3 linked regions of the Oryzias latipes genome follow. The protein of the gene in region 3 interacts with the protein of the main gene of each other region in a pairwise test. Links are inferred from orthologs where the notes say so. Each region holds a gene or a part of one and is shown on either strand. Other genes may lie near its edges.

What was found.
Region 1: the proteins of sp4 (region 3) and nrf1 interact in binary tests that used the Homo sapiens proteins (3 or more experiments, as listed by UniProt). The two-hybrid records come from large-scale screens. The link is inferred for Oryzias latipes from reciprocal best matches to the Homo sapiens genes SP4 and NRF1.
Region 2: the proteins of sp4 (region 3) and pou2f1 interact in binary tests that used the Homo sapiens proteins (3 or more experiments, as listed by UniProt). The two-hybrid records come from large-scale screens. The link is inferred for Oryzias latipes from reciprocal best matches to the Homo sapiens genes SP4 and POU2F1.

The regions. Positions count from the first base shown.
Region 1 is NC_019881.2:14,758,456-14,762,132, reverse strand, and holds the end of nrf1 (nuclear respiratory factor 1), read left to right. Parts: intron 1-2,104; coding exon 2,105-2,265; 3' UTR 2,266-3,157; downstream 3,158-3,677. UniProt on the Homo sapiens protein: Transcription factor that activates the expression of the EIF2S1 (EIF2-alpha) gene. Links the transcriptional modulation of key metabolic genes to cellular growth and development.
Region 2 is NC_019879.2:10,747,644-10,751,298, forward strand, and holds part of pou2f1 (POU domain, class 2, transcription factor 1), read right to left. Parts: intron 3,341-3,655; coding exon 3,161-3,340; intron 3,085-3,160; coding exon 2,964-3,084; intron 2,881-2,963; coding exon 2,789-2,880; intron 2,686-2,788; coding exon 2,515-2,685; intron 822-2,514; coding exon 680-821; intron 1-679. UniProt on the Homo sapiens protein: Transcription factor that binds to the octamer motif (5'-ATTTGCAT-3') and activates the promoters of the genes for some small nuclear RNAs (snRNA) and of genes such as those for histone H2B and immunoglobulins.
Region 3 is NC_019869.2:9,692,369-9,696,023, forward strand, and holds part of sp4 (transcription factor Sp4), read right to left. Parts: coding exon 2,941-3,655; intron 2,698-2,940; coding exon 2,499-2,697; intron 1-2,498. UniProt on the Homo sapiens protein: Binds to GT and GC boxes promoters elements. Probable transcriptional activator.

The sequences.
Region 1 (3,677 bases), on a different chromosome or scaffold from region 3:
TTACTGCTCACTGGTTTTTCAAATTAGTCTGACCTGGTATAATCTCCCCATCATTGACAGTGCTGTTAGACCTCTGAGCCCCCTTTCTAATCCACTCTGTGCTGATGTGACAGATGGTGTGTTTTAGTCCGTGTGCACTTTGTGGCAGAACTCCCTTCTTTTAATATGTTGCTAATAAATGACCCGCCTAATCCAGTGCGCACTTTGTCGTTCCACTTTTTTTAAATTTAATTAATTAATTTTCAGAATCAGACGTGAAGCTGCGACATGCTAACCAGAGACACAAAGTTAGAGGCTGTTAAAGTCCCTAATTTGAGGTTTGAAATGTCTTCAATGAGTAGAGATTTATGTGTGAGACTACACATCCGTTTGACAAGATGGGCTTTCTTCTAATCTGCCTTTAATCTGCAGGTCGTGGTCTGTAACTGACGCACAAACCTGGGTTTCACTTGAAGCTTTTATCTTGTGTTGACTTATTAACAGCAAATGCAAAGGAAGCTAGTCCAGAGACTGTCTATTATACAGGTCTTCATACACATTTTATGAAAAAACGAACAAATCATTCATATTGATATTAGTAATTAGTGAAAAATAAGTTAAATAAAACCATTTGGATAAAAACAACTATAGAATCCAACAGGGAACAGTTTGTAACACAGCAAACGTGGTTGAAAGTGGATGTTACCAAAAGAAGAGAAATGTTAACAATTAAGACATTAAAACACCAAACACAGCTTTGTCACACCAATGCATCCCTAATAGTTTTAAAGATGTATGTTGCTTCTTGATATCAGTGAAATACAATCTGTGTAAGAATAACTAGTGAGGTGTCTGCAGGTATGACGCGTTAGAAAGGATAGGCTTCACATAACCATGTGACCATTTAAAGTCCCACGCCGATCATCTTCTGATCTATTGTAAAGGCCTCCCCTGTGGTCTTTTGATTATGATTAGCCAAAATCAAAAAAACCTGTGTGGTTTCTAGATAGAGCACAGTTTCTGCAGAGCAACAGAATTTTTTCATCTGCTCCTGATTCGCGATGAATGAAACAAAATACTCAGAAATGCAACGTTGACCTTAAATTTCTTTATATATGTTCTCTGTCATCAGAAAAATGAACTCAAAAACACCATTTTCATCAGAATAGGTCGTTAAGATTTTTATTAATAAAGTTTCATTTGTTCAGCTTCTTCACTTTAACACTCTTATCTGGTATATGCAGGTATCATAATGCACAGTGTCAGTCTTCATCAAAAGAGCAAAACTCATGACCTCGACCTATCACTGTCATTAGAACTGAATGAAATGCATCACTTAGTCTGCATTCACTGATCTCCACCAACAAAGTGACACAAACCCAGCTCAGCGTGTTGGATGTGTAAGATGGACTGTAAAAAACTAGGGAAATGGATCCAGGTCAGTTCATCAAGCAGCCACTAGGGGGGTTGTTAAATTCCTGGCTGGTTCCAAAACCAATGAATAGACTAATCATTGATCTGTTTAATTTTAATTGTGCACACTGATTAAATAATCCAACTGATCAGATTTTAAAAGGGCTGTGGTTCAATTATTATTATTAATGATCATTATTAATTAATTATTATTATTCACTGACATCATTGTCATTAAAAACAAGAACAAATTTTTCCTCTAGTCAGTTTGATTGAAAAACAAATGCTTGTTTGGTTGGCTGATTACTGTTCTGTGTTCACAGTGGGATGGATTCCATAACTGCTGTTTTTTATTTTTTTTAAAATGACCACTTTGAAACCTCGAGGGCTGAGAAAGACTTTAATATTTAAAAGAGGGACATGAGCCCGCACTGACCTTCTTGCTTGCCTGTGACACAGTGACAGCTTGCTGGGTGGGGCTGAGGCCCACGTGACTGCAGCAATAATCTCCTCCAGCACAGCTGGGAGCGGGGGGGGGGAAGCGAGCCTCAGATCCTCAATCGGACTGTTGTTCAGAAATGGCGTCCATGAGACAGGGCTGCTTCTGTCGTGAACACACACCTGGATTGTGCGGGCCTCTAGAACCATCCTAAAAAAACAAGCAAAAAGCCTTTGGGCTCAATTTAACTGGATGTTCCTGTCTTTTCCTCAGGTCTCGTCCAGATCCCGGTCAGCATGTACCAGACCGTAGTCACCAGCCTCGCCCAGGGTAACCGGCCCGTCCAGGTTGCCATGGCACCTGTCGCCACACGCATAGATAACACTGTCACACTAGACGGCCAGGCAGTGGAGGTTGTGACCCTGGAGCAATGACACTATGGACCTTAAAAAAAAATAGTAGAAAGCACTGAATGGCCACCTTGGAGACTTGTTTCCCTCTCATGTTTTCCAAGACTTCACATTGTGTACAATGTTAAATATATTTTTAAATGTACATATGCAGGGGAAATGAAAGTGAATGATTGTTGCATTGTGTTTACTATGTAAAGATATTGATTTTGGCTGTGTGTGTCATTAAGCTTCATATTTTTTAAAGATCTTTCATGTTGCCTGTTTAGTATTTATATTTTTTTTTGTTTTTTGCAAATAGCCCATACTTAAAACAAACCAAAACACATGGGAGGAAAGCCACGAAATGTCAAAGTGTATAAATGATCGATATTTTTTTGTACCTTTTGATGTGTATGACTATTCCGTTTTAGGATGCATTTAAAACTCGTTTTGCTCTTTAGTCTTTTCCCATAATTAGAAACTGTTCTCACTTAATTTTCAGCACGTGTGCTGTCGACACTCCCAGTTGGTATAAAACATCAAAAATAATCGTTTTGGTCTCATCTGCTGTAGTCCAAACACATGCCAAACTCGCTGACTCAGGATGTACATCAAGGTGTTGTCTACTGCTGTTTTGCTTAGAATACCTATTGGAGCAGTCTTTGTCAGATGTTTATTTATACTGCATGGATGGAGGAGCACCCCATTAAGTGTTTATTTTTTTTTATTAACTCCTTTGTATGTCACTTACAACCAGTATACATCATTTTGTACATGACAGGAAGTTGCACATGGACAGGAAGTGCAGCGTTAGCCAAGCTAATGAGCATTTTCAGCGGAAACAACATTGCTTGCCAAAACTGATGCAGCTGTTACAGTCGGTTTAGCTTTCATTCCCGTTTGTGTATTTGAAAAAATAAAGTCCAGAAATGTCTCTGCTGTTCCTTTTCACTCGGCTACTATTAGGCATTTGATTCGGTGGGAACTGTGGCATCTGTCAGGTTTGATTTTTTTTTTATTTCCAACTGATAAAGAATAAACAGAAGTGTAACAATGAATAACATTACAGGTTTAAAAAGGGCTTCGGATGAAGTTTTACTACTTGGCGAGTTCAAGACATTTTTAAAATTCAATCTAAAGTTAAATTGATGCAAAAATTTCTATAGAATTGCAAAAAACTAGGAACAAACACTGAAAGCAATCAATTAAAAAATACACATCAATGAGTCATCTTATTACTATATCATCTTTTAACCCTTGTGTTATCTTAGATGACCCCACCCTTACTTTGACGTGTTCTCCCTACCATGATAAAGGTGGAAAGATTTCATGTAATCCATGGACACCAGTGAAGATCACAAATCATTGAAGAAAAAAGGTTCAGAGCACTGTCCAGTGGGTCTAGATGACCCAACTCCCAATGGTAAAGTGCCTAGGATAGCACAAGGGTTATG
Region 2 (3,655 bases), on a different chromosome or scaffold from region 3:
AACTGGGTCTCAGAGACACAGCAGTAGCACTGAAAGTGCCGCCATTCAGATGCAGCTCTCGCAGTCGATGGTGAAGCTCACAGAGTCTCTAAATGATCTCTCGACCCCAGACATGGGGAGGTATTTACTGATGTTTTAATAAAGCTTTTCAAAATAAATGAACTAGATCTCTTAACATATCAGACTGTTCCATGATGCAGCGATGAGGTCTGACCAAGAAAAACAATTGACTGTAGCTCCTCCCACACACAGTGTGATCATCGAGTCTATAAACACACTTTTGGACAAGCGTTTGCAGTGAATTGTCAAAACAAAGGTGACCAATGCAAATTTGACACGCACATTGTGTTTGATGTGAACCCAGCAATCCAGTTTTGCCCATCACCCTTCTACTATTGCCATTATAGTTAACTAGAAAGGTAAAGTGCTCCCTTACAAATAATTTAATGCATGTGGGATTCAAACCATAGCTACTGATCCGTATGTATCACGGTTCAGCCGTGATCCATTGCACTACTCAAGAGTATGTTAGAAACACCAAAAACACAATTTCCTCAGTGTGTCTTTAAACGCACCTCTTTGATCATGAGTGAGTTAAAGGTGAGGACTTGACATCTATGTTCGTTTTCAAGAAAGTGAATGTATGAAAATGATGATGATTGTAGGTTTAGGGACAAACCTGCATCATTAAGCCACTTCTCCAGCAAAGGCTTAAGTTTGCACATGTTCTTAAAGCTCAGGTTCAAGGCCTCAAAGCGAGAAATGGTGGTTTGACTGAAGTCGTTTCCATACAGCTTGCCCATGGCCAGGCCGACGTCCCCCTAAAGAAGCAGAGGAGCAGACAGAGAAGTATGAGCAGCATTAATTATTAAAGGTCCCCTCATCTCCTGGGTTTGATTAACACCCTTGAAATAAATCTCTGTTCATTAAAATTACATGCAAGATGCTTTTTTCCCCTCGTTTTAAATATCCTAGAAGAACCTCTGTGTTTTCATGTGACATAAATGCCAGGATGAATATAAACTCCGCCCCTCAGCTCTCTTTAACTTGAACTTAACTAACTTATTTTAAAACTTAAAACAATGATAAAATATTACCGGATGTTTTAAGAAAAACTCTTCAGAAAGATTTGAAACTAGAGCAAAAGTCAACACAACATGTAGGTCAAAATACAAGAGTTGTATAGTGCCCTCTGGACCGTAAAATGAGCAACACCAGAGATCAAGACCTGATCTTGAAGTGAGGACATTTACAAATACTCCACGGAGAAAAGAGGCATCACTAATTTTTGGCAAAAACTAACTTGATTTTTGTTGCCGTCATTGGTGTCTTGGGTTTCTGGCTCCAGTCTGGAGAGTTTAGAGAGCTTTCACCTTGACCCGTTTGAACCTAAAGTTACAAAGACAGCTCGTCGCACTTGACCAGGTGGTAACGCTCACCTGAACACTGATGCACATGGAACTGGTCTGCCTAAAAATTATGGTTTGGTTTCTAACCCTGTATCTTGGTGTGATTCAGGAAAGTGATCAAAGAGAGAATGGAACCAAAGAAAATTAAAACCATGGATTTTCTTTGCAATGGTGGATTTGTTAACCACGCCCATATTCTTAATATATTCATATTGCATGGTAATTTGTTTCATTAAGCGTGAGCTAACAGTTAGAATTAAAATTTCAAAAAAATCCAGCAAAAAACGTGTGAACAGGGAAACGCCTCTTTTGCAAGCACGCAATGTGTAAGCCGTTTCAAATCTACAACTCTTTATTCCAAAATGTTTTCCAAAGTAGCTTCCCAAAGACGGTCGAGAAGTTAGGAAGAGATAGACGATAGGAATTTAAATTTGCTGCTGCTAATTAAGTTTTTTTTTTTTAATTCAACTTGACAGCCTCTTCCAGAGGTCAAAAGTCAACAAAGCTTTGACTTTACCTGGTGCCACAAAATGGTTGCCCAGTCATAGGTCCTGTGGTCATCCCATAATAATTTCAAAGCTTCCTTTGGATGTCCCCAACACATTATTTCTGGTGTTGTTAATGAATTTACAAAAACATTTTTTTTGGTTTAAAGGCGCAATAAAGAAGACGAATTGCAAACACAATCTGGTCCTTGCACCAGATAAATCCAGGATTTTGGTCTCTGTCTTTAAAGAAAGCTTTTTTCAGAGCCTGGAAACTATTCATGCTTTTATCAGAAACTCATGTATTGCCATGTTATCATATATTAGTCATTATAACTATGAAACACTCCATCTCCCCTTAAAAAGTATTGATTTACCAAAATCATGAATCACTCAAGTTATCTAGTAAATAATTGGATTTTTAAGGAAAAAAAACTTTTGTGTTTAGCCTTTAATCTTTTCACAAAGATTTGTCGTTGATAAAATACTTTTTACTTTTTTAAGTCTTAAATTAACATATCTAGTTAAATCTATAGTAATTCTCAATAACACACAGGAAAACAAAGGCAAATTGTTAAATGTAGATTTCCCTGATCGTGTGGAGGCGATTCAAATCTCACCTGTGTAAAGCCCAGTTTAATTCGTCTCTGTTTGAAAGTCTTGGCAAACTGCTCCAACTCCTCAAGATCACTTGGTTCTTCCAGCGTGGGAGTATCCAACCGCTTGGGTGGTGTCTGACTCTGGGGCAGCTGAATAGGCGTGGCTGCTGTAGTTCGGGTTGGAGTTGAAGGCTACACGGGTCACAAGCGTAACCAAAATGTGAGAAACATTGAAGTTTACAGCAACTCCAACACATCTTTGGACGTTTGAAGAAGTGGCTGCGTTAAGACCAACCTGAGTTGCAAGGTTGATGCTTGGTTGAGTTGGCAGGAGGTTAGCTTGGCTTTGAGGTAGTTGAGTTAGAAGACTCTGGGGTTGCAATATACCTGCACAGCATCAATGGAAAAGGAAACAGTGATTATAACGCTTGAAATGGCTCCTCTTGATGCTCCTCAGCATCCTCTCTTACCTTGCTGGGCCTGCGGTGTCTGTGAGATGATGAACTGAGCCGGCTGCAGTGAAGTAGCAATGTGATGACCAGGCTGAACCAGAACAAACTGAGGCAGGCCTAAACTCTGCTGTTGTAGCTGCTGAAGAACAAACAATGTGCCATGAATGTTCATACCTCTGACTGCGTCTGAAGAAACTCAGAGGCGGATGACTTACAGAGGTAATCTGAATGGGCTGTGAGAGGGGTAACTGGGTAATGGGCGTGGCTGCAGTGGCTGAGATGTTGGCCCCAGTGGTGCTGTTCTGCTGGCTGGCTGTATGCTGCTGCACAGCTGCAGCCAGGATCTGAGCCTGGGCCTGCTGGATCAGCAGCTGCTGCGTTGGGGTCAGGGTCAACTGTAGGAGGCACGGCAGGAGAGGAATACAAGAAGGGGTTAATTTATTGTGAAGAACACGCATAAACATGTAGAAAAATGTCACAATAAATCAGCTTCTATACCTTTGGAAAGGTTCATATCTCTACTCACTTTGCATGAACACAGATGAGTTTACTTTTGTATCACTGTTTTCACACATGAAAAATGATTCTTTGTTTAACCAACAACTTTGGAAAGAAAGAACTGCTTCTGTTAAATGATGACAGCAGCTTCCTTACTCCGACTCATTTCGGCACAAATTTCCAGAGAAGCAGAAAAGTATTAGTACTGTATT
Region 3 (3,655 bases):
TGAACACAAATCTAAAAAAGGGTTATTTTCTAAACTACAGCAGGGGGCGCTAATCGAATAATGCCATAATATTACAACAGAACCGTCTATAAACAGCCCCTATGCCAATTCCCCATCCCTTCCTTATCTACAATGAGGCAAAAAAGTATTTAGTCAGCCACCAATAAGAAAACAAGATTTCTGGCTCTCACAGACCTGTAACTTCTTCTGTAAGAAGATCCTCTGTCCTCCACTTGTTACTTGTTTTAATGTCACCTGTTTGAACTGGTTATCTATATAAAATACGGCTGTCTACAACCTCACAGAGTCACACTCCAAACCCCACTATGATCAAGACCAAAGAGCTGTCTGAGGACACCAGAAACCAAATTGCTGACCTGCACCAGGCTGGAAAACTGAATCTGCAACAGATAAAAAGCTTGGTGTGAAGAAATCAACTGTAGGAGCAATTATTAGGAAATAGAAGACAAACAAGACAAATGATAATCTCCCTCGAGCTGGGGCTCCACGCAAGATCTCACCCTGTGGGGTCAAAATGATCACAAGAACGGAGGAAAAATCCCAGAACCAGACGGGGTACCCAAAAGAATGGGCCAAAGTATCAACGGCTATCATCAGTAACACACTACACCGCCAGGGACTCAAATCCTGCAGTGCCAGACGTGTCCCCCTGCTAAAGCCAGTACATGTGCAGAACCGTCTAAAGTTTGCTGGAGAGCATTTGGATGATCCAGAAGAGGATTGGGAGAATGTCCTAAGGTCAGATGAAACCAAAATAGAACTTTTTAGTAATAACTCTACTGGTCGTGTTTGGAGGATAAAGAATGCTGAGTTGCATCCAAAGAACACCATGCCCACTGTAAAGCATGGGTGTGGAAACATCATGATTTGGGGCTGTTTTTCAGTAAAGGGACCAAAACAACTGATCGGTGTGAAGGAAAGAATAAATGGGGACATGTATCGTCAGATTTTGGGTAAAAACCTTCCATCAGCAAGGACATTGAAGATGAAACATGGCTGGAACTTTCAGCATGACAACAATCACAAACAAACTCGGTTTTCCGGTAGAAGAAGCCTAATTACAAAAAAGCAGCATTCCGCCAGAATGTTGGACATGCATCAATATGGCACAAGAAAGTGCATGAGGGACACGTCTGGCGAGAATTATTTCAGAGACAGCGCAAAATCCAGCTTTTATTTTGATAGTCCATTTCCGCTTATCAGCAAGTTAATTTGCATGTTAGCTAAAAATTTAGTTAGGAGTGAAACATTTAGCTCCAAACTAAATTTTTAGTTAAAAAAAGTATAAGTTATAGATACATTAATTAAAAAGTGAAAATATGCATTTGAAAAATGAAACCAGTTGCTTTTATCCTAAAACAGGCTAAATAACCAAAAATATTGTTGTCAATATCTGATTTTTTCACTTTGCAAACGGCACCCAATAGGTGTTCTAGAATAAAATGTTGTTACAAAATTCTGTAGTCTATCAGATGTCAGACTTTGATTTGCTTTTTGGGACAAGTGATCATCTTTTGATGCATTTCAAAGGTGTTCTCAGTGGTCTTTTATCTTGATGATGCTATGATTTAAAGCCTGTGTTGTTTTCTAGGACATAGTTTCTGCAGAGCAGCAGCAGTTAATTAGAAATTCACCTCTGAATTGTGGGCGAGACTGTTGCCGCGAAGTAAGCACACCCCACTTCCCATCACCCATCTGTTTCTACGTTCTCCCACTGGCTTACAGCCCCTCAAACCCCCACCCTCACATTACTGGTGCAACAAATTTGGCGAACATTATCAGAGCGATCCAGTCGTACAGTTCTGATCAAGATACCGGCTCAGACGAAGAAAACATTGTCTGCAAGTGGATGCATAAGAAAGGGGCGGAGTCAGGAGCTTGTGGCCCGCCCAGTATATTTTCTACATCATGAATACAAACTTTTTCAAACTGCGTTTTTTGTGTTAAAAACAACAAAAAACACTGAAAGAGTGAATCTTCAAGAAAGCACACAACTTAAAGACTCACTCTAGTGAAAACATTTTCTTGTGGTATTTTCTGAAATGATGGAGGATATATATAACATAATTTAAGATTAAAATTGCACTTCTGTGGGTTTTTTTTTTTAATGCAAATTGTGAATCGGTTGCAGACGGAAAAATGCCGTTGGAAAAAGCTTCCTGCTCTGCTCCATTCTGATGGATCCACTTGCAGACAAATAGATCAATGTAGTCCAACGAACTCCAGCAACTCTGCAGAAAATGTGTTTTAGAAAACAACACAGATTTTGTTGATACTTTAAAGACCACTGGGAACACTTTTAAAATGGATCAAAAGATGATCGGAGTGGGACTTGAAATAAAACTTCAAATCCTTTAACTATTTGTCAATAACTATGAAATTGCAGAGACTAAAACGTATCCAACCCTTTAAAATGTCTATTGTACTTCTGAATTAACTGCTTTCTGGTGGTTGTTTTTCTTGTAAGCTCTCCATACCTCCCCTCTCCATCCCTGCAGTTGGGACAGGAGCAGGCGACGCGTCTGAGCCGCTTGCTGGGCTGGCCCTCCTGATCCGAGGAACTCTGAACTGAGCCGAGCTGATCTGGACTCATGGATGAACCTGAAGCCATGTTGCCGACAGTGACTGTCACAGGAGAGGACTGAACTTTGACCCCATCCTGACCCTGTGTTTGACCTAGAGGTGAATTTGAAAAGTGTGTCAACCTTTATGTGACATGCAGAAGAAAAAAAATACACTAAAAACTGCAAGAGGAGAAAATTCTAAATGTCTGAGCAGGAGGGATGTTTCTGATATTTTGCTTTAAGTGGTTAATCTGGGAACCGGCCCCAAAATTGATTCAAAAGTCCTATAAAAAACGTCAATCACTTCTGAAAAAAGTGTCTCATAGTCACACTGTTACACTTATTGTGTACTTACCCTGCAGACCGGTGATGGTGAGAGGAACCCCCTGCACCTGAACCCCAGCAGTGCCCAGTCCTGCGATGCTGACCGTTTGTACCCCTGAGCCTGGGTTGATCTGAGCTGCACTCAAAGTCAAGGGAGTGCCGCTCAGGGAGACCAACCCCCCACCCCCCACCGTCGCACCGCCTGCAACCGGGGCCAGGGTCAGCTGCTGCGGCACAGCCGCCCCGAGACCGCCCTGCAGCGACACTCCTCCAGGAAGTTGCAACGTCTGCCAGGTGATTTGCCCAGAAGGTGACAGAGTAGGAGTGCGAATGAGAACCTGGGCTGGGTTCTGGATGGCCTGGATGGGCTGCAGAGTTTGTCCTGGCGCCAACTGAAGGGTCTGAATCTGCTGAGGCTGCTGCTGGTTCTGTGGCTGACCCTGACTCTGGGCTTGGGGTTGCAACTGGATCTGCTGGACCAGCTGATGCCCAACCTGACCCACGATCACCTGCTGGATGGTTCCGACGGCGTCAGTCTGATTCTGCAGCCCGTTGGCTTGGTTTTGGTTCTGAGAATCTGCCTCGCTGCTCTGTACCTGAGCGTCAGCTGATCCTGTAGAAACCACTTGAGCCGCGTCTGACACGCCGTCGCCCTCAGCTGCCGCTGCTGTGGATCCAGTTGCAGCTGGAGCAGCTCCAGAAACAGCTGTTGTCACCAGCTGGTTGCCATTAGCAACAGAAAATGT